Linked DNA regions of Notamacropus eugenii. The protein of the gene in region 2 binds, or shares a complex with, the protein of the main gene of each other region. Links are inferred from orthologs where the notes say so. Each region holds a gene or a part of one and is shown on either strand. Other genes may lie near its edges. The genes, in order: TCTE1, GAS8, DRC12 and EFCAB2.

Evidence for each region.
Region 1: GAS8 (region 2) and TCTE1 share a complex: the UniProt entries of both Homo sapiens proteins name them as parts of the nexin-dynein regulatory complex. The link is inferred for Notamacropus eugenii from reciprocal best matches to the Homo sapiens genes DRC4 and DRC5.
Region 3: GAS8 (region 2) and DRC12 share a complex: the UniProt entries of both Homo sapiens proteins name them as parts of the nexin-dynein regulatory complex. The link is inferred for Notamacropus eugenii from reciprocal best matches to the Homo sapiens genes DRC4 and DRC12.
Region 4: GAS8 (region 2) and EFCAB2 share a complex: the UniProt entries of both Homo sapiens proteins name them as parts of the nexin-dynein regulatory complex. The link is inferred for Notamacropus eugenii from reciprocal best matches to the Homo sapiens genes DRC4 and DRC8.

Annotation. Positions count from the first base shown.
Region 1 is NC_092873.1:107,791,030-107,798,897, forward strand, and holds the start of TCTE1 (dynein regulatory complex subunit 5), read right to left. Parts: upstream 3,002-7,868; 5' UTR 2,902-3,001; coding exon 2,634-2,901; intron 2,033-2,633; exon of another isoform or gene 1,831-2,032; intron 1-1,830. Other genes in the region: AARS2 (alanine--tRNA ligase, mitochondrial), read right to left, coding at 4,708-4,872, 5,453-5,563, 5,822-5,905, 6,550-6,660, 6,909-7,031, 7,199-7,307, 7,482-7,591, 7,698-7,835. UniProt on the Homo sapiens protein: Component of the nexin-dynein regulatory complex (N-DRC) a key regulator of ciliary/flagellar motility which maintains the alignment and integrity of the distal axoneme and regulates microtubule sliding in motile axonemes.
Region 2 is NC_092872.1:708,012,851-708,020,585, forward strand, and holds the start of GAS8 (dynein regulatory complex subunit 4), read left to right. Parts: upstream 1-4,722; 5' UTR 4,723-5,139; coding exon 5,140-5,142; intron 5,143-6,638; exon of another isoform or gene 6,639-6,755; intron 6,756-7,621; exon of another isoform or gene 7,622-7,735. Other genes in the region: DBNDD1 (dysbindin domain-containing protein 1), read right to left, coding at 1-8; uncharacterized protein, read left to right, coding at 1-238, 846-980. UniProt on the Homo sapiens protein: Component of the nexin-dynein regulatory complex (N-DRC), a key regulator of ciliary/flagellar motility which maintains the alignment and integrity of the distal axoneme and regulates microtubule sliding in motile axonemes.
Region 3 is NC_092876.1:279,606,058-279,612,964, reverse strand, and holds the start of DRC12 (dynein regulatory complex protein 12), read right to left. Parts: upstream 3,017-6,907; 5' UTR 2,966-3,016; coding exon 2,902-2,965; exon of another isoform or gene 2,814-2,901; intron 2,668-2,813; coding exon 2,592-2,667; intron 1,880-2,591; coding exon 1,809-1,879; intron 1,356-1,808; coding exon 1,236-1,355; intron 409-1,235; coding exon 316-408; intron 57-315; coding exon 1-56. UniProt on the Homo sapiens protein: Component of the nexin-dynein regulatory complex (N-DRC), a key regulator of ciliary/flagellar motility which maintains the alignment and integrity of the distal axoneme and regulates microtubule sliding in motile axonemes.
Region 4 is NC_092873.1:406,147,672-406,154,657, reverse strand, and holds the start of EFCAB2 (dynein regulatory complex protein 8), read right to left. Parts: upstream 3,001-6,986; 5' UTR 2,798-3,000; coding exon 2,773-2,797; intron 1-2,772. UniProt on the Homo sapiens protein: Component of the nexin-dynein regulatory complex (N-DRC), a key regulator of ciliary/flagellar motility which maintains the alignment and integrity of the distal axoneme and regulates microtubule sliding in motile axonemes.

The DNA.
Region 1 (7,868 bases), on a different chromosome or scaffold from region 2:
ATGGAAGTGAATAGGCTTGAGCCCCCTCCCTTTCCATTCATTACCTGATTTTTCACCTGGTTCAGAGGAGGAAGTATTTCTTTTTCATTTCTAAGGTTAACTCAGTGCCTTTGACCTCCATATTAATTGATTTTTCTGGAGCTTTGTTCAGGCAACTATCTAGTATCTCAACTATATCTTTATTCTCTTTCTCTCCAGTGGTTCATTCCTCTCTCACTACAAACATTCATACATTGAAGCCTCTGCTGTCCCCAACATTCTCTCATATTTTATCTCCTTAAAATCTGAGCTCTGTCACTCTACTAAAAATGCTGTCTTCAAGGTCATTGACAACTTCCTGATTGTGAGATTCAGCAGACTTTTCCCTTAATATTCCTTCCTTGGCTTCTCTGACACTGCTGTGAAATCACCTAGCACACTGTACTTGAAGTCAGGGAGACCTGAGTTCAAATGTCCCTGACACCTATGTGACCATTATTTAATCAGTTAACCTATCTTTAGTTTCTTCATCTGTAAAATGAAAGGCTGGATTTGTTGGTTCTTTCAACTCTCCATCTATGATCTTTCCTGACTTTCCTACCTTTCTAATTGCTTCTTTTTTGGTTCTTCCTGTCTCATCTGTTCTCACCTACTCACTTCTGAACAGATGAATCCCAAACCTGTGTCTCCAGCCCTGATCTCTTTCCCAATTCCTACTCCCACATTTTAAATGTGCTACTGGACATCTCTACTTGGATGTCCCACCTGTATCGCAACCTCCATGTGCTAAACATGGCTAGATCCTCTAAATTTGTTTCCTTGCCTAATTCCCTTAAGATATCATCATGGGAAAGGAAGAGAAGGGGCAAATTTAGGTGCTTCTAGAGTTGACTGCAATTGGGTTAACATTAGCAGAACAGAAGAAGCATTTCTATAGCATCTACTACGTACTGGCTACCATGCTAAGTGTTTTACAAATATTGCCTCATATGATCCTCACAACAACCCTGAAAGGTAGGTGTTGTTATCTTATAGTTGAGGAAACTGAGGCAAAGAGAAGCTAAGTGATTAGTGCAGGGTCCTGTGGCTACCCAGTGTCAGAGGGCAGATTTGAACTTGGGACTTCCCAAGTCCAGGCACACCACTCTATCCACTGTACCACTAGTGGTCTCTACTCCTATCAACAGTATAACCAGGTAGAGCTGGGATCTGACGAAATAATCAATATAACTTGTGGGGAGGGTTGTGCTGGGGGTGGGAGTTGATGAAAAGACAACCAAGGCACATGGGATGCAGCCTAAGGCTTCTCACCAAGTTAACGCTTATTTTTTAGAGTAGTAGAACAAGGGGTAGAAAGGAATCTCTGGCTGGCAGGAATGAGGAACATATGGAATCATGGGAAGTATCTTCATCTAGCCCACTACTCCCATTTGACAGATAAGGAAACTGAGGTGCAGAGAAGGGAAGTGAATTTCCTAAGGTTACACAGCTGGTCCAATAAGGATCTCAATTCACAATCCAGTGCCTTTTCTGCTATGTCATGTTACTTTGTTCTCCCTTTCCACTCCCCAGAATGCTTGGGCTTGGTCTCTTTCAACCTAGCAAAATGGCTCATAAAAGTGACAGCAACACACTTTCATACAACACATCAGAATTTACAAAGTGCTTTCCTCACAACAGTGTCTGTAGTACAAGTCTAATTCCCATCACAAAGATGATGAGACAACAGGCTGGGAAGCTGAATGATTTGCAAGGTCACAGGCTAGAAATGGACACAGCTGAGACACACTCAGGTTTCCTGCCTCCCCTCCCAGCCCCTCTCCACCATGATACACCGTGAATACAGCTTACCCTGTCCTCTAGGCTTATGGCTCAAGCTCAAACCTGCCTGCAGCTTCAGCAGGCTCAAATCCAGCACTGACCCAAAATGAATGATGATGGTTTTTTGTTGTTTTTTTTTTAACCTTCCTCACTCTGTCTCAAATACTGATAATTCCTACTGGGCTTCTCTTCTCAGCTTTCTAAAGGTCACTGCAGTGCCTGTCCACCCATCCTGTGAGGAGAAAAGGATGCAGCAGCTATTCTGTAGTCAAGGGAAAGAGACTGCAGGGAAGGAAGTGGGGAAAAGAAAGTCTGGGTTTCCCAAAGGGGCTTCTGTCCCAAGGGAAGCAGAAGCAGAGTAGGCACAGGATAGACGCATGACTGTTAATGATGTCCCTAGGACCTTTTCTCCATCTCCTTCCTCCTTTCATAGGCAGCCCAGTCCTCCCCTTGACACTGTTAAGTCAATAACCACTCCCTGGGGACAAGGGAACTCGGGCATCTTTCTTCAGCCGTGGGGTGAGGTCTCAAGTGGCTACTGCTGGGGCTACCAGGCCTCCCTCCCCCCTTCTCCTCCACAGGGAAGAGGGATCAGTTTGGTGAAGCTGTACCACAGACAGTAAGTCATAAAAGGCCATCCTAAGGAAGAGACTGGAGAGTTAAAGGTGGAGACAGGGGGAAGAGTAGGATTCTTTTATCCAGGGGGACACTGAGGGGTAGGCAGGAGGGGAGGGGGTGCAGAAGATCTGGCAGAGTGAACAACAGGGACGTGGGCATAGAGGGGAGCAGGGCACAAGGACATCCGTCAGCCTCCCATCCCAAGGTTTCCTCACCAGCTGCCTTGGTTGTCTTCAGTTTAGCTGGGACCCTCTGCCTGGCTCTGTCTCCATGGAGACACCTCCCCTCCCCCCCAACCGGAAGGCTGTCTGCATTGGTTGCTATGCACGCAGGCTGTTGGTAAGGGAAGGAGAGCGAGGGTGTGTGTGCCTGTATGTGTGAGCGCTTGCGCAGTCTGTCCAGTCTTAGTGTGTGGTGTGATGTATACACACATATGTGCAGTGTGCACATATATGCTTTGTTTCTGTCTGAGCATACTTCCATGCTTCCTATGGGACTGTGTATAATGTATTCTTTTGTGTGTGAGGGGCTGACTATAAAAACTCTCACTTCTCCATCCCCTTTAAGATGTGATTAAGGTTTAGAAAATTGGGTGTTGCCAGGGTCCCTTAGGATTCCTTTCACAGCAGATGAGATGGAATACTACACCTACTAACCCCAACCCCTGCTCTTCCCCACACTGGCCAACCTCAGGGGAAGTTGTGGAATAATTTCCATAACCAGGGCTCCTTCACCAGGTGTGTGCATCTTGCCTCCCCACCCTGCCTCAGCAGTCACAATACACCCTGGCTCCTTTGTGCAGTCCTTTCCCTACATGAAGGAGGCAGGTGGTAAACCCCAAGCCCCAGGTCCCTTCTCCACTCGACCACACCCAGTCCCTCTAGGGTCTTCAGCCTCTGGGACACAGGAATAAAGAGGCTGTGGTCTCTGCTTCTTGTGGCATCCCATTTTCTAAAGGGTAAGGCTGTGGCCCAAGAGGTGGGTTATCTGGCTGGACAGGGGAGGGAGGGCTAAATCCTGGCATCTTTTCCTTCTTTTTCAGTGCCCCCTTCCCCCAATGAGCTCATGTCCTTAATGAGGTAGGGAGGGAGGAGGAACCTGGCCCTGAGAGAAGACCTAGAAACCCCAGAGGCTTAGGCAGGGCAGGAGTAAACAACACAGGAGCCAGGCACAGGGAACTTTGGAGATGACTGGTCTCACAGCAGTAATTAATCAATAAATCAGTAACATCTTAATTAAAATGAGAAATCAGCTGTCAAGTAGAATGCACCATGGAGGGGCCAAGCTCCATTTGAGAAAGAGAGACCTATAAATTACATCTTTGGATGCTAGGAGGCAGGTGGCCCTTTTAAATTTTGATGCTCAGTCATCAATCCAGATCCAGTTGCAGGGATCCTGGCCTCTAAGGGGGAGCCATACTAGCTGGCTCCGTTCTCCCTCATTAAGGCTCCAGAGAATGCCCAGTTTCCCAAGCATTTGGTGTCAAGTCTGAAAAAGGCTGCCAGGAGACAAGCAAAAGACGCCTAGACTGAGGGAAGAAGCCAGGGTATCATTTCACCACGGTCTGTCCTGTTGTGACCTGGGATGTCTTAGTGAGGACAGCTTCCAGGCTGTTTCTGAAGGAGGGACTCAGCGGACTGCCCTGAGGCAGAAATGCTTTTTAATCTCCTATCTGGTCTGAGCTTTTCCAGACTGCTAGGGACTCAAGACCCTTATAGTTTTAGTTCTGGAGACCAAGGGGGCTGGGCTCATCCTTGTTGTTTGCTCAGGTCTGATGCCATCTATAGACATGCATCAGTGGTGACAGAGGTCTCAGATCCCAGGCTCAGTCCCAAGTCCCAAACCTCACCCAGCCAGGCCTGAGGAACAAGCAGGAGTGATGGACACAGGTACTACTGAGACCCCTGAGCAGTCTGAGAGGGGAAGGAAAGAACTTTCCTCTTCCTAGTAACTTTTGGTAGCTGTCTGTCCCCTAACAAAGTGCTTTTTACTAGGCAGCCATAGCTTCAGCACTGAGTTCCTGCGAACCATGGCTGAGGATTAGGCTGCACAGATTCATCCTCCCTTGGTTGTGGGGGGTGGGAGGTGGGTCCTCTCAAGGTCACTGTTCAAGTTCTCCCCACAAGGGGGAAGTGGGCACCAATGAAGGACCAAGAGATAGTTATGTCATGGCTTTTCTTATGCTCCTGATTCTGTCTTTGTCTCTGGTTTCTTAGTCATTAGGCACTGGGGCCTCTGGCTCCTGTCCTACTGAGCTGCTCTGCTTTTCTTCACTCCAAAAGTCCTGGGTTAGAGCTGGCTGAGAGCAAAGGATCGGGCAATGTTCAGCACGGCCTCCACGTCACCAGTGTTCCCTGCTCCCTGGGCCACGACTCGGGAGCCCCAGGCCTTGCCTCCCATGTGGCTACATACCACCGATGCCCAGGTTTCAGCAGTGAAGGTGGGCATTGCATCCTAGGGAAAAAGCAGACAGGAACTGACCTTACTACTCCCCTCCCCACCAGCAGACAGCACTCTGGGAGTCTTGGACACCTGAACCTACTGGTAGTAGCTGCTATTTGTAGTTGGTAGGAAAATCACATTAGAAGCCAGGGAGAAAGCTCTTGGGGATGAGACAGGCAGGGCATGTGGGGGAGGGAAGACAAGGGAAGCTCTACTTAGCCCAGTGGATGGGTGATTTACGATGGTTTGCAAGGCTGAGAGCTTCAGGGACCAGAGGCTCTGTCCCTGCTAAGTTATGTAGCCACAGTGCTTCAAATCATAAAGTGGAAGAGAACATGAGAATACTTGTTCTATACTGGGACAGGTGACTGAAGAATACCCTTTCCCTTGAGCAGGCACTGTTTTTAATAACAGGAGAAATTCTGTACCCTGGTATATGTGTGAATCCCTTTCCTGGAGAAGAGAATGAATGAAGCACATGCCAGAAGATGGGGGGGCGGGGGCATGGTGGTGATGTTCACTTTAACCATTCAACCAAGTGGGGAGAGATGGGAGGAAGGATGGTGCCACACCTTTCTCCCTGTCCACTCACCTGAGCCACCTGACAGGCACACAGGACCTTCCCTGGGGCCTGCGGACTGAGCAGTAACACGGAAGTGCCAGGGACTTGCTCACACAGCTGTTTCACCACCTTCACTAGCAGCTGGAAAGGGAGGGAGAGTCAGCCAGAGCCACTGTGGCCCCAGGCCTCCCCATGGCCCCTCCTTTATTTGTTACAGGCCTTTTCCCTAGTATCCTCTTGACTCCAGTAAAGCACAAAGCAGTCCCTCAATAAGATCCCCACTGTAACTCTCTCATCTCCCTGTCCCAGCTTCTTCCCTTTTGCTGAAACCCACCCACTTCCTCCATTTCCCTCCTTCCTTAGGAGACCCCCGTCCTGTGATTGCTCCCTACAACACACCGAGAGGGATTCAGCTGGGACTGTGTCAACAATGAAAGGCCCCACAGGGTTTCTCTCCAATAACTCCTGCGTTTTTGCTGTGGCCTGGAGAACAGAGAAGGGAGTGGGGAAAACAAAAAGAGAGAGTGTGTGAGAGAGAGAGAGAGAGAGAGAGAGAGAGAGAGAGAGAGAGAGTGTGTGAGTGTGTGAGTGTGTGTGTGTGTGTGTGTGTGTGTGTGTGTGTGTGTGTGTGTGTGTGTGTGTGTGTGTGTGTGTGTGTGTGTGTGTGTGTGTGTGTGTGTGGCAGGAGGAGGGGAAGGGCAGGTGGACAATCCCCACACATCCCTCCTTCCCTGAGTTTCCAACATGGGTACCTCAGCCCTCCTACCTGTGTCTTCCTTCAACCTGAGGGTGACTGAGAAGTGACACAAGGACTCGGAGAGGCTGAGCCCTCGTGTTCTGCCAAAGCCAGACCTTCCACTCAAGTCCTCGCCTGGCTGAAGCAAGCTGCCTTTTGAGAACCCTAAGCCCTGGCCTCTTTCTTCCTTTTGCCCTGGCTCCACATCCTTCTTCAGGAAGTTTTCCCTAATGACTTACTCTTCCTTCTGACCCAATTCTAGCTTTCCCATCTCCTGCCCTGTCTAACTGCTCTGGACTAATATGGGCCAGTTCTGGTAGCTGTGCCTGCTGGGTGGCTGTCACACTGCACGTTCCAAGCCCCCATGGCCCTGTACAGAGAGTTCCCTTACCAGTCCCATCTCCAGTTTTCGGACAGCAGTGTTGGCATGGCGCTGCAGTCTCTTCAGGACCATCTGCAGCTCTCGACGCTGCCACTGGGGCATCACAGCTGTGTCCACTGTCTGTGGCCAGAAAAGGCAACATCATACTTACATCCCCAGGCTTGTAGTGCTCCTGGGCAGAGGCAGGGCCCAGGCCCAAAGCACCCACTCCATCCCCTTCCCACACAGAATACAAAGCCTGGTCCTTCTGCTGGCCAACCTGTTAAGCTTCTTAGTATGAGACAGGGAGACCTGCAATGGGTTTGGGCTGGTACAAGAAAAAGGGTATAATACAGTGGGAAGAGCAGAGGGAAGGATGCGGTCCTCACATCACTGAGCCGTCCCACATCCTTTGACAAACGCTGAGCCTCCCCAACATCGTGGCTCCCCTGGTTCATTCGAGCTGCAACTGCTTCAACCTCGTGAGCCAGATTCTGGCCAATGTCACGGGCCTGGCAGATGGAAAAAGGGTCTATTAGTCACAGTGATTCCAAGGTTACCTCATACCTGGCTATGGCTCCCCCTGGACTGAAAATCTCCAGCGTGTGTGTGCTTTCTCCAGCCTGCCTCCTCCAGCTAAGGAGTCCTTCCCTCTCTTTCTTCCTGGGTGATCACTGACCTGCTGGGCCTGCTCCCCAGTGACAGCCACCAGTCGGATGATGCCTTTGGATAGCTGTCGTTCCCCCACAATAGTCAGGTCTCCTATGGCCCCAGTGCGCAGCAGGTGCCTGGGGCAAAGGAAAGGGGGATGGTAGAGGGACGGGCATTCCGGAGAAGAACCCAGAGCCTACAGCCCACATTGCAATGTGGGGAAGCATTGGTGAAAGGAACCACGTGGGAACACCATGACCAAGAGGAACCTAAGGCACAAGGGGCAATAGGACAGAGAGGGGATGACTTACGTGCCACAGCACAGTTCTACAGAGGTGTGCAGTGCAGCCTGGGAGGTGGGGGCCAGGGCACTGGCTACAGGTACCCCCACAGACACCACCCGAACAGGGTCAGGGTATATCTGTGGCAAGGGGAAGAGCAGGTACATTACAAACCCTCCCCTCAAAAAGGAGGCAGCATTTCTGAGCCTTCTACTAAACTCTTCCCTTTCTTCCTCTCCCTCTTACCTCATCAAGAGAGCGTAAGCCTGGAACTTGGGTGGCCAGCTCCAGAGCCACCTCCGCCATATACACAGGCTCATCCCTCTCCACAGCCTCTCGGACAGCTTCCTCCACTGCCTCAAGCTGCTTGGAGGTCAATGGGACCTGGAGAAATAAGGGGAAGAGAGAGTGTGAGCA
Region 2 (7,735 bases):
GCCTCCATTCGGCCGGCGGTGTGGGTCTCGGTGCCGCCCCTCGGCTCTAACTCAGCGGCAGGACGAGGACAGGGCGGCGGCGGCGGCTGGAGCCTCCTCCCTCGGGCGGCCGGCCCCGGCCCCGGCCTCCGCGTCCCTGCAGCAGGCAGCGACTGCGCCAGCGGCAGGAGCGCACATCGCCGTGCCACAGCAGACCGTGCGCGGCCGGCCGACTACTCGCCGGCTCCTCCGCCGCAAAGTAAGCATCGCATTGCAAATGAGCTAGGCGGGGTGCGGGCAGAGGGAGCCCGAGCGAGCGGAGGCACTGCGGAGAGCAGAGGCGAGGAGAGGGAGGGAGAGAAAGTGAGAGGGACGCGAGTGGGGGGGCCGGCTGCGCGCGCGCGTGTGGCCGGGTGCGCGCGGGACAGAGCCAGGCTGGCAGGCTGCCCGGGCGGAGGGCGGAGGGGACAGGAGCCGAGGGCCGGGGCCCCACGCCTTGTGGCTAGGGCGAGTGTAACCTGTTCCCCGGACGGAGGCTGGGGAGAGCGCGCTCAGGCCCTGAAGACAGGTGGAGGCTGGACGTGGAGAGGCCCGGAGCGCTGGCCCCGCTGCCCTCCTCTCTGCTGGCGAGCGCTGAAGAGACCGGGCAGGCGGCCTGGCCTTAGAGCCGATGTGTGCCCGAGCCGCACCAGCAGGCTGGCTCTCTGCAGCGGGCCCCGCGGGCCCCAAGACCAGCCCCCACCCACCTTTGCAGTTCTCCCAGGGCCACCTAGCTGGTCTCATTCCCCCCTGGCTTCCCTTTCTTAGAATCCTCGTTCTCTCCTCCCCATCCCCTTTCACCCCAGTTTCTTTGTTTTCGTATATAGAATGTAGTTCTGTGGCCAGCTTGGCTGACCCAGACCACTCTTGGGTGGCAGCAGATCGTGGAGGACAGGCAGAAGAGTATGGCTGCCCTGATAGTCTGGGCCCATGCCTCAGGCTGCCCTGGCAGAGATTGCTGAGAGAAAAGGAGGATGGGGAAGCAGAACTGGAGCAGAAAATAGGAGAACTGCACAGGGAAACCTGGCATGGATCCACAGGATTACAAGAACTGTTATGAGGGCTTCCTCCCTCCCTGCCCCCCCCCCCCCCAGCCCTTACTTAGAGCCCAGAACTATGGGCTCTGGGCTCTGCCACCTCTGGTGCCAGTCACTCAGTTGCATGTTTCATAACACCCACTGGAAAGACTGAATGGTTTTCTCACGCCTTGGATTAAAATGGGAGCAAGAAAGGATATTATGTTTTCTTCTTGGTGATTATGTACAATGCAAGGTAGAATGGAGAGAGTGTGAGAGAGAAAGATAGACAGATGACAGAAATAGGTATAGATAGATGGAGATGGATGGATGGATGGATGGATGGATAGATAGATAGATAGATAGATAGATAGATAGATAGATAGATAGATAGAAAGGCTCAAATTCAGGAAAAATTTCCCAACAATTAGAACTGCCCTAAAGTGGAGTAGACTGCCCAGAGAGGTGGTAGGTTTCCCCTCCTTGAAGGACTTCAGGAAGAAACTGGAGAATATTGGGGCATGTTATCTTGGAGATTCCTTTTGTGTACAGGTTGAGTCTAGATGTCCTCTACAGTCAATTCCAACTCTCCAAATCTATGATACTGTGAATGTTCCAATATACACCCATTCTCCCTCCCAGTGCCTCTTTTGAGAATGTCCCACAGGGCAGAATTACTGCGGTTTTCCTCTGAGTAAAGGTCATGTCAGAGAGCAAGGTCCTTCTGGAAAACTACAGAGCTTGATGTGAAATGAGGACAAAAAGAAGGGGATAGAAGAGCAAAGAAGCTTATTCTAGATCTCCTGAAACCCAGCTCTGGTTCTAGAAACATCCTTCAACACCTTCCTGGGTGGAAACCAGGGTCTAATGGCAAATCTCTGTGGACTGGACGAGCTGTTGGCAAGCTTGTTTTCCTTCTTTGCACATATCTTGCCTTACTGTGATACCTCTTCCCTTTTTCTTCCCTCTTGAGGTCACCTTTGACATTTATTTCAGTTTGATTTCACTGGGATGCAGGTGTTAGGGTACACCCAAGGTGCACCACACCTATACACCAGGAAGGTCATAACTTCTGCTAGCAACACTCCCAAAGAGAACCACACAACAGGTGATTTTTAGCATTAGGGTCCAATTACCCAACTAGACTCTGAATGGATCATCTTGGGTTTTCTCAGGCCTTCTACAAAAGGCAAGAACTTTTGACCAGATCTCCTTGGAACCTTTCTATGGTTCTAAAATTGTGCCTCAGCAGGATGGATGTGGCCAGGAAGGAGCCTTACATTTTACCAGTACATACGCCCTGTTTACCCGAGTACTGCAGCAGAAACAAAGTTAAGGAAAATCCAGTGGTTCTGAAACTTCTAACTTCTGTCTCCCAAGCCTGGAATATAATCCCTCCCTCCTTCAAGGGTCAGCTCAGGTCCTATTTCTTCCACAAAGCCTTCCTTGATCACATTCCACCTTTCCAAGTTGTTGATACCTTCTTTAGTCTCAGATTATTTGTATACAGTGTATTTCCCAATAGACTCAAACCTCCCTGAGGACAGAAAATGGTTCATTTTTTTTCCTTGAATCCCCAGTTCCTTGTATAGTACCATGCACAGAGAAAATTTTTTTAATACATGTTTGTTGACCTGAATTTTGTAATAAAGGAGGAAATCTGACCACGATAGAAAATTCCAGCTCCTGAGATGCTTGGGGTGACCCAGGAACAACTGCTAGGCTGTCACAGTTGGGAAAGATGAAAGAGGGTGGGTGGTAAATGAGACTTTAAATCATCAGTCTAAAGAAGCCCAAAGCTGGGCTCTCACCTCCCGTACTAGATCTATTTTGTTGACTCAATAAAACAAATATTTGTTGCATGTGTGTTATGTGCAAAGCACTGGGCCAGGCTCTAAGGACACAAAGATGACATAAAACACAAAAAAACTAATAATCTAGTGTGTGCGGAAACATGTGCGTGTGCGCACACGATTACTTCAGTATTCCAAGGCTTGATAACTTCATCAATGTTGGTACTCCTTCCACCAGCTCAAACCCCATGCCCTCTGTCCTGTAGTCAATCCAGCGACGAATATTTAGCTTGTTTGGTTCTTGGACAATAGATTCAGTCAATTACAATACAATATGACCCTTCTAGGCTGACGAGACCTGCCACAATTTACCCTCACACAGCCTAGCCTTCAAGGACACAGGAGTCACTTCCACACTATGATAAGATATCACAAGAGGTGCTCTGGATAGAACATTGGACCAAATATGAGTTCAAATCTGGCCTTATTCATTTACCAGCTGTGTGACCCTGGGCAAGTCCTGTAACTGCTGACTGCCTCCGTTTCCTCATCTGTAAAATGGGGGTGATAATACCACCCAGGGTTATTGTGAGGATAAAATGAAATATTTGTAAAGCCCTTTGTAAGCCTTAGAGTACTATATAAATGCTACCTATTATTCTTGCAAGAGTACTCTAGTGAAGTGTGCATGTCATTTATGCACTCTATATGATTGTGTAAATCATTAAGGACAGAGATCATGGCATATTCATTTTTGTATCAATGAGCCAAAAAAGGGTAATGGAAGGTGTTCCTAGCACAGGAAACTCTCACTCTCCTACTTTGCCACCAGTTTTGACTTTCCTTTATTGGGCTTCATCACATAGCCTCTCCTGACCTGATCTATACCAATGACTATCCTGCTTTCCCCATCCCTCAGTGCCTTCTCAGTTCTTTTACTAGACCTAAGTGGAGCCAAAGAGATTTGTCACAAAAGCCTGAAACGATTGAGGCACCAAGTAGTTTTCCTCTGTGTCAGAAACTAAACCAGTCAGAGGGTCTCAGCTAAGGAATTGATGATGAGGGTGGCGAGTCTGGCCTGAGGGATTAAGAGACAAGCTAACCCAGCTTGTGCACCTTTATTTCATTCATGATCTCTGTAGCCTATTTTTTAGCACATCAGTAGGTATGTAAAAAATGTGTCTTGAATTGAAGGAGGGATATTTCGTATTTATCTAGATTTCTGGATACTAACATATGAGCATCCCAGTTCTATTCCAGATAAAATTTTCTGATCTCTACAAGTGTGAATAAAGTATCTTCTTTAACATTCTGAACCAAAACCCAATATGAAAAGCAGAGAGGTCCCTGTAGGATCCCTGTCTGGATCCAAGGGGAGTCTCAGAGCTAGACTTGCCTAAGCTTCTTGATATATTAATTTCTATAATCTACATTGATATGAACAAAATAAACCTCTCCAACAGTTCTGTGATCACATTAATTTAGAACCCTAGCTATCCTGAAGCTGAAGAGTCACTTACCATGGGGGGGGGGGTTCTTTTTCATTGTCCTTATCATTTAAATAGGGACTCCATGGCAGATTTTTTGAAACAAAAGGCCAATTCTTTGTATGTCAGTCTCAAAGCACCTAACACATTGTGGATGCTAAGTCAGTGTTAAGTAATAACAATAATTAGCTCCCTGAGATTTCCAGCTGCACCATCTCTCTTGCCACCAGTCCTCCAGAGAGAGAGAGCTACTCCTTTTGCCATGCCAAGTAGACCCTGGCATCCAGAAGTTGGCACAGTAACGGCCCCTTGTTTGGGCTTCTGACTGCATAAGACATGGTGACACCATCAGACATCACAAAGACCAAGTTGCCCCTTATAAATGAATCACTACTTTTTAAAGGGGGACCCATCAGGATGTAAATGCACGAATCAAGGCAGTTTGATTGGTGTAGCCCTTCCCACGAGCTCCTCCTCCTCCTCCATTACTACCTTCCCCTCCTCCTCCTCCTCCTCCTCCTTCTCCTGTTCCTTCTCCCCAAGGCTAAGATTCCAAATCAACCAATGTTTAGAAGGAAGACCAGAAGACTGCCTCTTAGATCCATCACGTTCACTTACCAAAGGCCCAGCTTTAACACTGCCCTAAACAAATGTATCTTTCTGAGCACACACCGCAGGGCTACTAACCACAACTCTGCTGGTGGTGAAGAGTCTTGTACTTTGTCCAAAGTGCTTCTTTTATGACTCAGTAGCACGACCAGACCAATGGAATCTGTGGATCTGGGTCCAAGCCATGGTTGAAGAGTACACCAATGAAGATCACAAATGGTGCGTACACACACTTGCTGTTTGTGTTGAAATTCATGAAGCTGGCACACTGTATTTCTCTGTGACATATACAGTATAGCTGTTCCTGGAGTCCTGAAGAGCCGGATTCACATCCTGCCTCTGATACTTCCTAACTATGTCATCATGGGCAAGTCCCTTACTCTACGTTACAGATGGGGTTACTTGGGTAGAGGGAGTTCCCACCACTGGTAAAAGCATAGATCTGGTATGGCAGTCAGTCAATCCTAACCTAAGCACCTACTCTGTGCCAGGCCCCACGGTAAGTACTGGAGATAGGCAAAAAACATTCCCTTCTCTCAAAGAGCTCATATTGTAATGGAGGAGACAAGATGAAAGCAACTATGTACAGACAAGCTATATAAAAGATAAATTGCAGGATAATTGGAGATAATCAGCAGAAGGTATCCACTCTAGTTTAAGGGGGATCAGGAAAGATTTCTTGTAGAAGGAAGGATTTTAGGGGGGACTTGAAGGAATTCTCTGTATGAGAGACAGCCAGTGAAAAAATGAGTTGAACTGGGGAATGGAACCTCTTGTTGGAGGAACAGCAAGGCCAGTGTCTCTGGATTACAGAGGATGTGGGGGATGAGTAAGGTATTAAGGTATAAGACATCTGGAAAGGTGGGAGGGAGCCAGGGCTTTGAATGCCAACAGAGGTTTTTATATTTGATCCCAAGGGTTCATAGGGAGCCATAAGTGTTTATTGAAAATATTTTTGCTCTCAAGAAGCTTACAATCTAATGGGGGAGACAAGATGTAAACAATATGTACAAACAAGTCATAGACAGGATAAACTGGAGTTAATGGTCAGAGGGAAGTCACTAGCATTAAAGGGAATCCAGAAAGTCTTGCTTTGGAAGGTGGGATATTAGCAGGGTCTTGAGAAAACCAGGGAAGACAGGATGAAGATGAAAAGGAGGGAAAGCATCCTGGGCATGGGACACAGTCTAGAAAAATGCCCAGAGTTGGGAATGGGGGGAGGTATGTCCCATCTATCACCCAGGGGTGCTATAAGGATTTGACATGATCTTTAGAAATGGAGCTCTAGTGAGTGAAAGGTCAGAATTAAGATGTGTAAACTGTAAAGCGTCACATGCCAACTCCATGGTTGGTGCACTGTAATGGAAAGAGAAGAAACCACCCACTGAGAAAAGCTTATCCTGCCTTACCCAAGCGAGCTACCAGAACAGTTTGGGGCTTATTAAGGGTCAACATGATACCACTTTGCTGATGTCTCCAGATTGGTGGCATTTGCCTTCTGGGCCATCCCTGCTGGGCTATCTTTTTGACAGCTGGTAGAATGAGGGTACCTTTGGGCCTGATACCAGGGAAAGAGCATTTCTGATTTAAAATCTGGGCCAGATACCAGAAGCAAGAAAACAGAATTTCTGATTTCAAGTATCAGGGGAGACTAATTAGAGGTGATGAGAATATGCTGGCCTTTTTTTTTTAAAGACACATATAGACCCCCTTACTTGGATGTTACAGATGGTCTTCTGGCTCTTTCCACCATCTCTCTGATTTAATGCTGTGACAGCCACAGGCACGAATCTTCAAAGAACAAGCAGGGTTATATATCATCTCATTTTGTTCTGGAGAAAAAAAAAAAAGCAGATCCTTGTCTCAGTGTTCAAGTTATATAACAGGCAGCTGGCTGCAGGTGAGCAGAGCCAAGACTTTAGATCTAATTTGAGGAATCATCTCTGGCCTGTCACCATTTATAACGTGGTTGGGGCTATCTAACCTAAGGAGAATGGTGCAAACCAGTACACAAAATGCCAGGGTCCTCAAGGGCAATTACCCCTCTAGACAGACAGACCCATTTGTGTAAAGACAATTTGGAAGCAGAAAGATTATTATTAGATCTAGAAAGGCAGAGGATCTGGGTTTGAGTCTGGACTTTGTCACTCATTAGCTGTGTGATGTTGGGCAAGTTACTTAAACTCTCTGAGCCTCAGTTTCTTCATCTGTAAAATGGGAAAGGCAACATGGGGTAGTGGAAAGAGCCCTGAATTTTGAGTCAGAAGGCTTGGGTTTGAATGCCAGTTCTGCTCCTAACTACTTACTTGTGTGTGACCTTGGGTAAGTCCATCGATTCACCAGCATTTAATTAAGTGCCTGCTGTATTCCAGGCACTGACCTAGGACCTGGGCATGCAAGTATGAAGAATGAAATAATCCCTATTCCCAAGGAACTTAAATTAAGATGATTTCTTGACCGGAAGTTTTTTATCTCCAAAATGACGACTAAATGCTGTCCAAGGTCCCTTTCAGCTCTAAAATCATGATCTATGATCCTTCCAGCCTTACATCTTGTTGGACCATATATCTTATATGGTTGTCTTGAGACTCAAAGGGAATCATGTATGGAAAGGATTTTGTAAACTAGAAAGTGCACTGGAAAGGACATAGAAGAAAGAGTTGTTATTCACAGAGACATGCATTCATTTTGTACATACACGCAAGCCTGATCCATGCATATGCAGCGACTCATAAATCCTATACCGTCCTGGCAAGGCTTAGACTGGCTGTTTGCAAGGGCGGATCTCGGAGCCTTCAGCCTCTTGGACCCG
Region 3 (6,907 bases), on a different chromosome or scaffold from region 2:
TGCTAATGCCTGTTCAGCCTCTCTCTTAGCAGTTTTTGCCTCTCTTTGGCATGTCTCTGGGGAGCCAGAGACAGGATTAATGAGGAATATGAAGGCAGCTGAATAGAGTCTGCTCAGTGGCCTGTGGGAGAATCTGTCCCCTTTGCACTTTCCAAGATACAGAATACCCTTAGATGCCTCACCTAAAAGAATGCTGCCTCATCCCTTCATTCTTGTCAAACTCAGCTCATTTGTCTAGCTCTAGCCCTGCTATATCCCATTCTCAGAACACAGACTGATCAGGTACCCATCTAGGACACAGAAATTCATACCTACCTAACTCTTTCTGAAGGACCTTTACTTTCTCTTCCAGCTGATGTCTCTGTGTCTCAGTCTCTTCCCTCAGGGCATGGTACTGACGACTCATCTCTTGGGGTATGGGATAGTAGTAGGAGGTACTCCCAATAAGGAAGATCATAGAATTAGAATTGGAAGAGATATCATTGGCCATCTAGTCTAATCTATACCAGAACAAGAAACTTCCCTGCAACATACCAATTTGTCACCTGGTTTTTGCTTGAAGATTTCTTGTGAGAGAGAACATATTACTTTCCAAGGCAGTCCATTTTACTTTTCAATAGATCTAAATTTTAGGAAGTTTTTTCCTTATCACAGTTAAATTTGCTACTCTCAAGCTTCTACCCATTGTTTTTAGTTCTGTCTTCTGTAGCCAAGAAGAACCAATTTAATCCCTTTCATGAGATGGTTCTTCAAATATTAGAAGACAGCTACATTTCCCCTAGAAGTTGTCTTCAGGCTAAAAATTCCCAGTTCCTTCATCTGATCTGATCTTGAGGTTCTTCTCCATCCTGGCTGTGCTCCTCTGGAGATACTTTCCAACTTACATCCTTCTTAATATGTGGTACCCAGAAATGAACATGGTACTCCATATGGGGGATGATATTATAGGAAGTTGCCTTGGGAAACACCTTCCCATGGCTTGTTTATGATATAGAAAATTCTGCTTGTAAAGTCACCCAAAAGATGGAAATTTATAACAAATAGAGAACAGAAAGACAACCAGATCTTCTGTCCCATTCCAGATCTACAATCACTGTGGGATGGAGGGGTTATGAACCTTGAGACATCCCTTTCTAAGATCCCACAAGAGCCTCATCCAATTTATGCTGAGTGGAAAAAGCTCAAAGACAGAATTGGTGATAAATTGTCCTATAGTCTGAGGCCCCTCCTGTCACCTGCATACACAGCCTCTCCATCACCTCGAGCCTCCTCCACCTCAGCCTCCAACTCCTGCAGCCTCACTCGGAGCAGTTCTCTGCAAGCTATGGCCTGGCGAGTCTCATCCCGTCGAAGAGCTAGGGGTGGCACCAAATGAAGGATGAAGTCCTCAGCCCATAAAGAATATCTCATTCTCCCAGGATACCTCCCACCCACATGCACGTGTGCACACACACACAGACACACACTCACACACACGCACACACTGCTATACTCCTCTCTTCCCTACTCCTGGAGTCTCCAAGTTCTTATTTGCCCAATGTTTTAGAGTTTTCCCTGTTTCCCCCAGCCCTGAAGTCTACCAGTCACTCTTTTGGAACAAATTTCTTCTCTGCTCTGGCCAATGGAAAATGGCATCCTCATCTCTGTAAGGATTATAATTAACTATAATTCTAACCTTCATTACCTAGACTTTTCACATAATTTCCCATAATGATCTATTTAGCTAGGAACTACTTAGGAGCAACTATGGAATAGGTATCACCTCCACTCTCCAAGGAGTAGGGGAACTTCCTCTATTATTCCCTTACCCAGATGGTCACGGAGGATCTCCACCTCCAAGGCTGTTCTCCTGTGCTTGATCTCAACATCGACATCTGTCCTTGGCAAGAAGGAATCATAGGATTATAGATTTAGAGCTAGAAGGAACTTTATTATTTTCCAACTCCCAAATTTTATGATGAAGGAACTGAGGTGAAGTGAATTTGCCTAAGGTTACACAGCAGTTCAAACAAAACTCACATCTTCAGACTCCTAGTCCATGACTCCTTCTATATTACAAAACAGGAAGTGAGGGACAGTTTCATGGAAACCATATAAAGGCCTAATCTATTATAGCTTCTCCTTTGTCATTCTCCTCCACCCTCAACTCCCATGTTTAGAAACCTTTTTGGGGTTAAATCTAAAGGTTGTGGGCACTTGCAGGTCCCTCTGGAGCTGGTGGTACAGGAGTGTGAAAGAGCAACAATTGCAAAAGTTGAGTAGTTCAAAATAGGCTAGGCTGACCCAGAGGAGATTCTGGATCCCTGGTGATTCCAGGAGAGCCTGCATTTTGTTTTCATGTAGAATCTTGGTCCCTGGGAGCAGGAAGAGATGGAGAATGGATCTTCAATTAGAGGAAATGACACAAGTTCATCTTTCCCCATCCCTGGGTACCATTGTTATAAATGAAGGAACCAAGGCCAGGAGGAAGAAATAGGCTCGGACTGGATTCCACCATGGGGAAGGGGGTCAGGACTCTAAGGGATGCTAGGTGGACAAAGCCTTCAAAGACACCCGCATTGTTCCCACCAGCCTCTACCCACCTCACTCACCTTGATTCTTCTTTTTCTTTTTCTGTCCCCCAGCTTTTGATCCTTTTCCTTTGATTTTTGGTGGCATCTTGGTGTCCTAGAGGAGGAAATGGGCACATTGTGTTCAAGTTCTGGGTCCTAAGGAGATGCCCTCTCTACTCTCATTTTAAGGTGACTATCTGGTAGAATAATAATGGGTGATCAGTCTGTGTAGCTTTCATCCACTATGTAAAAAAGGAATACCTTTGGGTCCTCTTTTGGAGAAAGTAATTCTTTGTATAAGGTTAGCTTTGTGCCTGCCTTTGCCCCCTCTTTCTCTGCCTCCCCTTACCTGTAGGTACCTCCTCAGATGTGCCTCCTATTTCTTCTGTGGTGTGTCTCCCCAGAGAACTCATGTTGAAAGGCAGTAGGATGGCCCAATGAGCTGGAAGACCAAGGAAGGGGCTGGATTAGGGCAACCAGTACAGATCAGCAATGTAGGGGGTGGAGATAGTGGAAGGAAGGTTGAGTGTCTGGGCTGCCTTCTGTCTTAGCAACCAAGAAACTTGGGAGTTGTTTGTAGGAAGACAGAATTAACTACTGATTTAGATTAACTTCCTGTTCTCCATGTATCTCCTTCCCCTATTCCACATCCCAGGGGGAACTGGTGAAGAATGACTTGGGGAAGATTGGTCCAGATTTTTTTGGAGACCATAGATTCGGAACATCATAAATGTTAAAATTTTAAAAATAGCTTTATTATGCTGATGATGGCAACAGTAATGATAATTATTTGGCATAATTCCCATAAGATGAAAGGTTTGAGCTAGAATATTCCTTTTTAATTTTGCTATCACTTACTTTTATGTTACCTTCCTTTTTCTGAATACATTCTTACCCTACCCATTGAGTCATGTAACAAAGAATAAAAAAGAAAGGAAAAAAGTTCCACAAAAGTAACCAAAACATCTAAATATGATAGTATAATATGCAACATACTTACAACCACAATTCCCCACCTCTGCAAAAAAGGAGGTTGAATTTTTTCATCTCTTCTTTTGGAATAATCTTCTACCTCTAAAATGACATATTTTTATTGCATTTTTTCATTCTTTTATCATTTATTTTTGATTTTGTTTTACTTTTCACTGATATACTTTTATTATAGCACCTTCTTCTCTCAACACATCTCTCTCATACTCAGAGAAGCAACCCTTTTTTTTTTTTGAGGAGTTAACAATCACTTTATTTTTTTTCTTTTTTTTAAAATTAATTTATTTAACTTTTAACATTCATTTTCACAAAATTTTGGGTTCCAAATTTTCTCCCCATTTGTCCCCTCCCTCCACCCCAAAACACCAAGCATTCTAATAACCCCTATCACCAATCTGTCCTCTCTTCTATCATCCCTCCCTTCCCTTGTCCCCCTCTTTTCTTTTGTCCTGTAGGGCCAGATAACTTTCTATACCCCCTTACCTGTATTTCTTATTTCCTAGTAGCAAGAACAGTACTCGACAGTTGTTCCTAAAACTTTGAGTTCCAACTTCTCTTCATCCCTCCCTCCCCACCCATTCCCTTTGGAAGGCAAGCAATTCAATATAGGCCATATCTGTGTAGTTTTGCAAATGACTTCCATAACAGTTGTGTTGTGTAAGACTAACTATATTTCCCTCCATCCTATCCTGCCCCCCATTGCTTCTATTCTCTCTTTTGATCCTGTCCCTCCCCAAGAGTGTTGACTTCTAATTGCTCCCTCCTCCCATTGCCCTCCCTTCCATCACCCACCCTGCTTATCCCCTTCTCCCCCACTTTCCTGTATTGTGAGATAGGTTTTCATACCAAAATGAGTGTGCATTTTATTCCTTCCTTTAGTGGAATGTGATGAGAGTAAACTTCATGTTTTTCTTTCACCTCCCTTCTTTTTCCCTCCACTAAAAAGTCTTTTGCTTGCCTCTTTTATGAGAGATAATTTGCCCCATTCCATTTCTCCTCCCAATATATTTCTCTCTCACTGCTTAATTTCATTTTTTTAAGACATGATCCCATCCTATTCAATTCACTCTGTGCTCTGTGTGTGTGTGTGTGTGTAATCCCACCCAGTACCCAGATACTGAAAAGTTTCAAGAGTTACAAATATCGTCTTTCCATGTAGGAATGTAAACAGTTCAACTTTAGTAAGTCCCTTATGACTTCTCTTTGCTGTTTACCTTTTCATGCTTCTCTTCATTCTTGTGTTTGAAAGTCAAATTTTCTTTTCAGCTCTGGTCTTTTCATCAAGAATGCTTGAAAGTCCCCAATTTCATTGAAAGACCATTTTTCCCCCTGAAGTTTTGCTGGGTAGGTGATTCTTGGTTTTAGTTCTAGTTCCTTTGACTTCTGGAATATCCTATTCTATGCCCTTCAATCCCTTAATATGGAATCTGCTAGATCTTATGTTATCCTGATTGTATTTCCACAATACTTGAATTGTTTCTTTCTAGCTGCTTGCAATATTTTCTCCTTGACCAGGGAACTCTGGAATTTGGCTACAATGTTCCTAGGCGTTTCTCTTTTTGGATCTCTTCCAGGAGGTGATTGGTGGATTCCTTGAATACTTATTTTGCCCTCTGGTTCTAGAATATCAGGGCAGTTTTCCTTGATAATTTCATGAAAGATGATGTCTAGGCTCTTTTTTTGATCATGGCTTTCGGGTAGTTCCATAATTTTTAAATTGTCTCTCCTGGATCTATTTTCCAGGTCAGTTGTTTTTCCAATGAGATATTTCACATTATCTTCCATTTTTTCATTGTTTTGGTTTTGTTTTGTGATTTCTTGGTTTCTCATAAAATCATTAGCCTCCATCTGTTCCATTCTAATTTTGAAAGAACTATTTTCTTCAGTGAGCTTTTGAACCTCCTTTTCCATTTGGTTAATTCTGCTTTTTAAAGCATTCTTCTCCTCATTGGCTTTTTGAACCTCTTTTGCCAATTGAGTTAGCCTATTTTTAAAGGTGTTATTTTCTTCAGCATTTTTGGGGGTCTCCTTTAGCAAGGTGTTGACCTGCTTTTCATGCTTTTCTTTCATCTCTCTCATTTCTCTTCCCAGTTTTTCCTCCACCTCTCTTACTTAATTTTCAAAATCCTTTTTGAGCTCTTCCATGGCCTGAGCCCATGGTATATTTATTTTGGATGTGTGGGATACAGAAGCCTTGACTTCTGTGTCTTTCCCTGATGGTAAGCATTGTTCTTCCTCATCAGAAAGGAAGGGAGGAATTATCTGTTCACCAAGAAAGTAACCTTCTATAGTCTTATTTTTTTCCCCTTTTCTGGACATTTTCCCAGCCAGTGGCTTGACTTTTGAGTTTTCGAAGCAACCCTTTTAATAAAAATTAAAAAGAACAAAAAACAGACTTCAGCAAAACCAACTACCACATCAACTAAATCCAACATTATATGCTGTATATATTGTACGGATATAATCCCCTTGACTTTGCTAATATTGAAGGAAAATAAATTTTCTCATTTTTTTCTTTGGGGCCAAGCTTGGTCATTATAATTACACACTGTTCAATTTAAATCTTTTTTTTTTTTGTTGTTGTTCTTTCCATTTATATTTGTAACACCCACTCTGAGTTACCTTCCCAGAAGGCCACCATTACCATCAGTTTGCAGGATACTCTGGGTTTACACTGTTGAAATTATAGTTTAAGAACTCTCACCAATGAGCTTTTCCCTTAACTTAGTCAGTAGATACAAGTAGCTCAAAGAAGGTGCTTTTACTAAGATAAAGCAGTAAAAACAGTAGCTACAAAACATTGACCCTATTTTTTTTTTTACAAGGCAGTCAGAGTTAAGAGACTTGCCCCAAACCAGTGCTTTAGCCACTACGCCACCTATCTGTCCCTAAAACATTTCCATTATTAAACTAGGGCACATATACCTACAAATACATATAGCATACACGAAAAGAATAGGCACAAAGTACAATAGTAGTGTAGTCAAGGCAACTTCATGCTCTCAATATTTGTTCTCCATGTGGTTTTCACACTGCTTCCCCTTGTGCACAGCATTTCTTCCTGTTGCTCAACTGGACTCTCAGGGTCTATTCCCCTCCCTAGCTCATGTCCATTTCCAGAACTGGTTCTCTCTTGAATTCTTAGTCTTATTTCTTTTGCTGGTAAAGTCCCATTCATTGAACTGCTTCCTATCTCCAGGGAAGGCAGGACTTAGTAAGCTAGCATTTTAAAGGTGATCAAGGGCATGGTTAATGTGTTAGCTAATGGTAAACTTCCTCTCTATGTACATCAGGGAAAATTTCACACATTTTGAAAAGGGGTAGCAGTGTTAGCATTTTGTTAACACATTAACACCTAATTATTT
Region 4 (6,986 bases), on a different chromosome or scaffold from region 2:
TCTCTTGGTAACAAAAATAGCTCCCAAACATCCAAGATTAACCTGTTCAGTTGCTGACAAATCTCTTCCCAAAGTATCTACTTCTTTTAGTGTTGCTAAATAAAGTAACCAAACCAGGTTCTATTTCCTGCTTCATTGCCATCTAACTGTAAGACTTAGGGAAACTCATTTAACCTTTACAGCCAGATTCCTTATTTATAAAGGAAAGGGAATAAACTAATGAAAATCATAACTCATGATTCTATAGTGTTTTACAGTTTTAAAGTACTTTCCTCATAAAAGCAAAGGGAGATATGAAGCGGTATTATCATTATTCTCATTTTACACAGGGGAATTAAGATTCAGACAGGCTAAAGAACTTGGGACATAAATGATAGAGATGACATTCAAACCCAGGCTTTTGATTCCATATTCATCTTTCCACTGAAACATGCTGAATGTAAATCCCCTTCCATTTCTAAAATTCTGCATTCCAGTTTCCTAAAATAGCTGAAAAATTAATAAAAAAGTCAGTCATTCCTTGGGATGTAGTATGTACTTTCTAAACAGCATCACTGAAAGCTAACGTCACTTATTTTAGGAAAAGTAGCATAGTAATATTCATAAATTTCATAAGCATGTAAACTCCTGCTCTCCACATCGACAGAACGAACTATGGATTCTGAATGCAGATCAAAGACACTATTTCCTTTTTTCTTCCTTTCTTGTGGTTTTCCCTTTGATTCACAACATGACTAATGTAGAAATGTTTAATATGACTGTACATGTACAGCCTGCATCAGATGGTATGCCATCTTAGGGAGAGAAAACATTTCCAACTCACAATCTTATAAAAGTGAATGCTGAGAACTAAAAACAAAGAAATAAAAATTTTATTGTTCAAAAAAAAGAACGTAAACTCCTCGAGGCTGCAGCCTACCTCAACGCCGAACCCTGCTACGAATTTGTGTCTCAGCCGGCGCTCTGTGGCCCTGCAGGCCGTACAACGTACAGACACCTGGCTCAGGTTCGGTTCTCCACAGCCCGCCTGCAGTCCACAGACAGGGGCCATAGGCTTTCCCTTTCTAAGGTCCAGTTGCTTTGCCAGGACTTTTCTGAGCGCAAAGCATTTCTCAACCTCCGCAGAACTAGAGCAGTATTTACGCTATACCGGAAGTGATGTTGGAACCGCAATACCAGGTTCCAAACGGTCAACATGCATTTATAAATACCTGCTCTATATGGCAGGTATGGCTGGGGACACAGACAGGCAAAAGAAGGTTCCCTGCTCCTGAAGCTTGGTCTGAAGCAGAATCAGGGCATATTATTTATCCCTGTCAACAGTCATATTGAAAATACACGAGGAGGGGCTTAGTAACCTAAGACTAGGCTTTTAGTACTCCACAGGGACTTCCTAAGGCCTACTATGTGCCAGGCATTGTGTCTAATAAGCCTTGGGGACAAAAAGGCAAAAACCAGTCCCTGCTCCCAAGGAACTCAGCGTTTAAACGGAGAAACAACGAGCAAACAGTGATGTAAAAACAAAATACTGACACAATAAACTGGAAAAATTCAAGTTGATGCAGGAGAATGTGGGGGAGGGGTCCAGGTTGGTCAGATTCTGGCTGAGGAAGTCGCGGTTTTTGTTGTGGTTGCTTTAACGTACGGGAACGTGGTGACTGCCGGTTTCAGGGGGTCTCTGCAGCCCCGCGGGGCGGCTCCCCTCCCGTCTGAGGCCCGCGGGCCCCGGGCTGGCCTCGCCTTCTTCTCCAGGGAGCCTCAGCTCCTCAGACTGAGGCCTTTATTTTTATTGTGTGGGGAACCCCCCGGGGCTTGAGAAGAGAACATGTCCGCTTGCACGCGGCTGCAGATGGGGGCCGCACGCAGCGAGCTCAGCCCGGGCCGAGGTGGGGGAGGGGGAGAGGGAGGCGGGCCTGCTGGGCCCGAGGCGCGCCAGCATCCTCGGGCCTGCTTGCAAGGAGCGCCCCGGAAAGGCAGCCTCTCGGGCGGGCGGTCCCACTTCATGGCCAGGCTTCCCGAACGCACTTCCTTGGTCATGATCGCGGTGAGAGGTGGTGTGGGGTGTTTTTTTTTTTTCTCCCCCCAAAATGAATAAATAACTGTCTCCGGCCTGGCTCTTTCTTCCTACGCACAAGCCAGGGCCGGGGAGAGGCGCTTCATGGTGCAGAAGGGGGAGGGAACCGCTGCAGCCTCTTCCTCCCGCCCTCGCCTCCCCGCGCCGCGGGAAGCAAAATGGTGCCGCCAACGGTCGTCAGGCAGAGAGACAAGGGAGGCCCGGCGCGGCCGCGTGGGGGCGATGGGAGGAGGAAAGAGGATCCAGGAGGAACCCCGCCGGCCCTAGTGGGCGGACGCAGCCACCTCCATCCCTAATACAACCACCGGGACACCATCTTTTTGTCCCCGAGCCCCGGGCGGGGGCGCTCGCTACAGTTTCCCGGAAGAGGAGGAGGGGGCGGCGGGAGGCGCCGAGGCGTAGCTCTCGGGCACCGCGCCTGGCCTGGGGGAGGGGAGATAAAAGAAGCGGGGGAGGATGAGAAAAAGGAGAGGGGGAGGAGAGCCGACGTATCCCTCCCTCCCCTACTCCCGCGCTGGGCGGGGCCAAGGTCACCGCCTTCTCCCCCCCTCCCCCGTGCACGGCACCCATTCCCCTCAGCGGGTGGCACGTCCAAAGGGGTATAGGCAGGGGTATCCTCTAGGGGTGCTTCCTCCAAGGCCTCTGGCAACGCTCAGCAAGCCAGGCCCGGCCCTTCCCTTCCATAGGCGGTTTCCTACCTCCGCTGTCTCTATCGTCCGCCATCTTGTTGCCGGCCCGGTCGCCCTGGAGATGCCAGGTGGCGCTGGGCGGCGGCGGGAAAGAAGAACTGCCTGGATCTGAAGGGGAAGGGGAGGGGAGGGAAGGGAGAGAAACACCATGCCCAGCCCCGCCGCGGCCCTGCGCCGACTTCCAGAAGGCAAGTCCTAGCCGTAAAGGAATGGGGAGGCAGGGCCGTGGAAGACGTGGACAACCCCCCCCCCACGCAAAAGACCCCTCCTTGGGAACTCGGCGCCCCCGCCATAAAAACGTGGGCCCCGCCCTAGAGCCCCAGAACCTGGAGTGTTGTTAGACAATTGCCGCCAAAGCGCTCTCTTCCCGCCCTCCACAGGGGGGACCTCCCTCCTCCTATTCTCCCGCTCGTTTCCTCCCTCCCTCGTGCTCCCTGGGAACGGCTGCGTTTTTATTGCCAGATTTAAAAAAAAAGGGGGGGCGGCTGGAAACGTGCAGGAGGCGCGGTGGGATCGAGCCTGGGGCCGCCCTTCCCCCCAACCGGAGGCGAGCGGCCCACGTGGGGCGCGCGCGGGGGCGGCCCCTCCCTCCCGGGCCCGAGCGAAGCAGCGGCCGCCAGCAGGCCCTCCCCGCCACCATCCATCCCCACCCATGCTCCCTTCCCCGAATAGCCGGGGTGGCGGGGGCCTTCAAAGCACCCCTGGGCCCGGAGCGGGACGAAATGGGCCTCGAGGCCGAGCAGCGCCGGCTGTAGCCCAGGCTCCCGCTAAACCCTGGCGGCGGCGTTGTCGGGGCTGCGGCGTCAGGCACCAGCCGGGAGGCAGAACCCAGGGTTCTCCTGGCAACAGCGCGCCCGGAGTGCCATGCGCAGCCTTCCATAGGGCCAGGCGATGGGGCTTTTTTAAATTCTCCGTCACGTTCTCCTGCTGCAGTTGCTGAGAAAACTTCAAGCTTTTTTTTCTCCGACATTTGCCACTTAAAATGCCTCTAATCTTGAAACGTGGTTCCAAAGCTCGGTACGCAGGGTTTCTTTTTAAAGGCTATTGAAATGCTGTGCTCGATCCATTTGATTTTTTTTACAATTTCAAGTGAAAAATAAATTCACACTGCCCTGATTGTATTGTTCGTACTAAACAAAGGGTGGCCCCTTGGTGAATTGCACGAGCCGGAGGTCGCGCAGTAAAATAAGTTGGCTGCATTTTTTCTTATTGACATACTAAATCGTATTTTTCTTGGAAGGATTTCTGCACAATAAGTATCTGCAGGCCCAGAGCTCGCTAGGCCAATTTGTCATTGAACCTGAAACTAACCAACCCGTGTTGGGAGGAAGTCCTAGGACTGCATGGTGTTCTCAAAAACTTAAATTCAGATTTTTTTTTGTTACTTCGGTGATTAAAGATGACGCAGGTAAGTTTCACATGTCAAACTGTGCCTGTTTTGTCATTTCAGTCCAGTAATATAAGTTCCCCATCACACACTGCCAATATAGATTCAGAATAATTGACAAATTCAGTTTCCCTCCTAGGCTTACTACTTGTTGATAATATTTACATAGGAAAAGGTCTATCCTACAGATTCTCCCTTGTTAGAATCAGTGGCATCAAAGGCCAAAATCCAGTTTAGCAGTAACTAGATCTACCAAGGAGGTCAGTTTTCCCTCTCCCTGGAGAAACTTTTCCTGGACTAGTAGCCATAGTTTACAGATGGACATAAAGAGGAATAAACTTGAAAATTTTCACATTGTCCACCACATTTGAGGTTGCATGGAAGATCAATGAAATCCTTCCTAGTGGAGCAAATTGTCTAGGGGACAAGTCCTAGTTACAAGTCCTCCTGCAACTACTGGAGAATTTTTTGTGGTTGAATTGGGAGCTCTGGACTGGAACCAAAGTTATCGGATTTATTTCCTGAAAGAATGGATTACCTTTTGCTTTCAGTTTCTGCATATGAAGTGGTGTTCCTAAATACTTATCGATTACTTTAAAAGAATTATATGAATGTTAAAAAAGCAGAAGTAAAGATGATTTTTAGCTTACCTGATTCTTAGCAAACTTTAATTCCTTGAAAATTGTTTAATGTTTGACAGTTTGAAATTTTACTTTTGAAGAAGCTCTTGTTTATATTTAAATTTACTCGGGTCTGCTACTGAACTTATAAATCAGTTCCTTGGCTGCAGTAAATACACAATTGTTTCCCAATTGTCTCTGGTTGTTAGGCCTTACAATTAGAAGGTAAGTTCCCAAAAGGCAGGAACTAAGTCTTATGTTTGCTTTGTATTCTTTCTGCACCATCAGCTTCCAGCCAGATACCTAGCAGGTTCTGAATAAATAGAGAGCTTCAAGGGACCTTAGACAGCAGCTATAAACTCATACTTAATAAAGTTTACAAAGTACTTTCTCTAACAAACTGTGAAGATCGGTTGACAAAACTGGAGATGTTTCTTCTGGAGAAGAGAGCTCTCCTTGGGACATTATAACTATTTTGAAGTATTATTGATGATCTTGTTAAAAAGGACTTAGACTTGTTCTGCTGGACTCCAGAAGACTAAAGCAATAATTAGAAGCTGCAGATAGGCAAATTTAGGCTTGCTCTAGGGAGAATCTTCCTAACAATTCAAGTAACATCGTCCTGGGACAACAGCAACTAAAAATAGTATCTCTCCTTTGCAGGGTGAATTCTGGAATTTCTCTATCCGATTCTAGAAACCTCTTCACCCTGGACGTTCATTCCAGCCCTGGACTTCACAAATTGAAGTACCCTCTGCCCATGCAGACCTTCCTTCTCATTGGCTGGTTCCTCCCAGTACCTCCATTTTTAGGAGGACACACAGGCTCACCACTCCTTTATTCCTCTCCAGGCTATACTGCTGACTCTCTAGACTTTTCTGTGCCCCTACAACTGGTACCTTCATTTCTTCTCATTCCTTTTTCAGTTTCTTTTTATGTATTATTTTCTTCCACTAGAATATAAGCTTGAGAGCAGGAGATTGACTTTCTTTCTGTTTATATTTGTACTGCTAGCACATGGCACATAGTAAGTATTTAAGACATGCTTGTTGACTGACTGCTCACTGCATCTGGAGGAGCTGAGGACAAAGTAGATTATCAAATTCAGTCTTTTAGGGCTCTATAGGAGGTCCAACAGAAGGCTGGACCAAGTCTATGAGGAACTTTATGAGGACTCCGGGAAGGAGAGGACTCCAAGAAAAGAACTCCCAGGATCTATGAGTTACTCCTTTGCCATATGTGAGTTCTAAGGTTGACCCCCACTTTCCCTGGACTCAATGTACTTATCACAAAGTGTGCTCTTGGTTTGAGAGTGATGCTTTGTACCAACTATTCTGCCTATACACTTTAGTAAGTATCTGTTTCTAAGAACTTTTTAGAAAATTATTTTATTCTGAATTTAAGAAATAAAACAAGCATTTCTATAACATAATAGAATAGGGAAAAAAGATGATTATACATGAAACTGCCAATCTATTATGTAAAATTTGCTATTCCTTTAAAATATATGAGGTATCATATAACTTTGTTTATTCTCCCTTTTTTCCTTCCCTTTTTCCATCCGTAATTAAGTTTGACAGATAGCAAGTGAGAATCTGGAGGGGATGGGTCAGCTATATATAGCATTTTTAGCTACAGCATTAAAAAACACCCTTCAAGATCCCCAAGACCCCTGAGGGGAGAAATAGTATCTTCCAGGGGACTTGACTTGCAAATGTGAATGGAGGTTGGGATGGTAAACCTAGACTCTAGTAGAGGTTAACTTGTGGTCCATGATATCATATTTTAATAACTATAATATAACTAAGTTTCTTCAGAATACTTTTTTGTTTTGTGCATCTAAAATGTGATTCTGAGGAGGAGCCTGCAGGCTAATTCAGCTGGCTACATAGAATACTTGTTGTAAGCAGCAAAGGAATATGTATGTGTTAAGTGTTAATCAAAGACCCCAAAGATTACAATACATTTAGACAAATCATTTGTCCTCTCTGGACCTCAGTTTCTTCTTCTAGAAAATGAGAAGGTAGAACTAGATGATCTCCAAGTTCCCTTCCAGATCAATATCCATGATAATAGAGTCCTCCTACCCAGTAGACCACTTACTCTTCCCTCTCCTTTGTTAAATTGTCACCCATAATCAAAATCCTTGCATATCCCTTAGGGCTTCACTTTGGGTCCCTTTCTCTTTTCTCTCAGCCCTCTTAATGATCTCATTT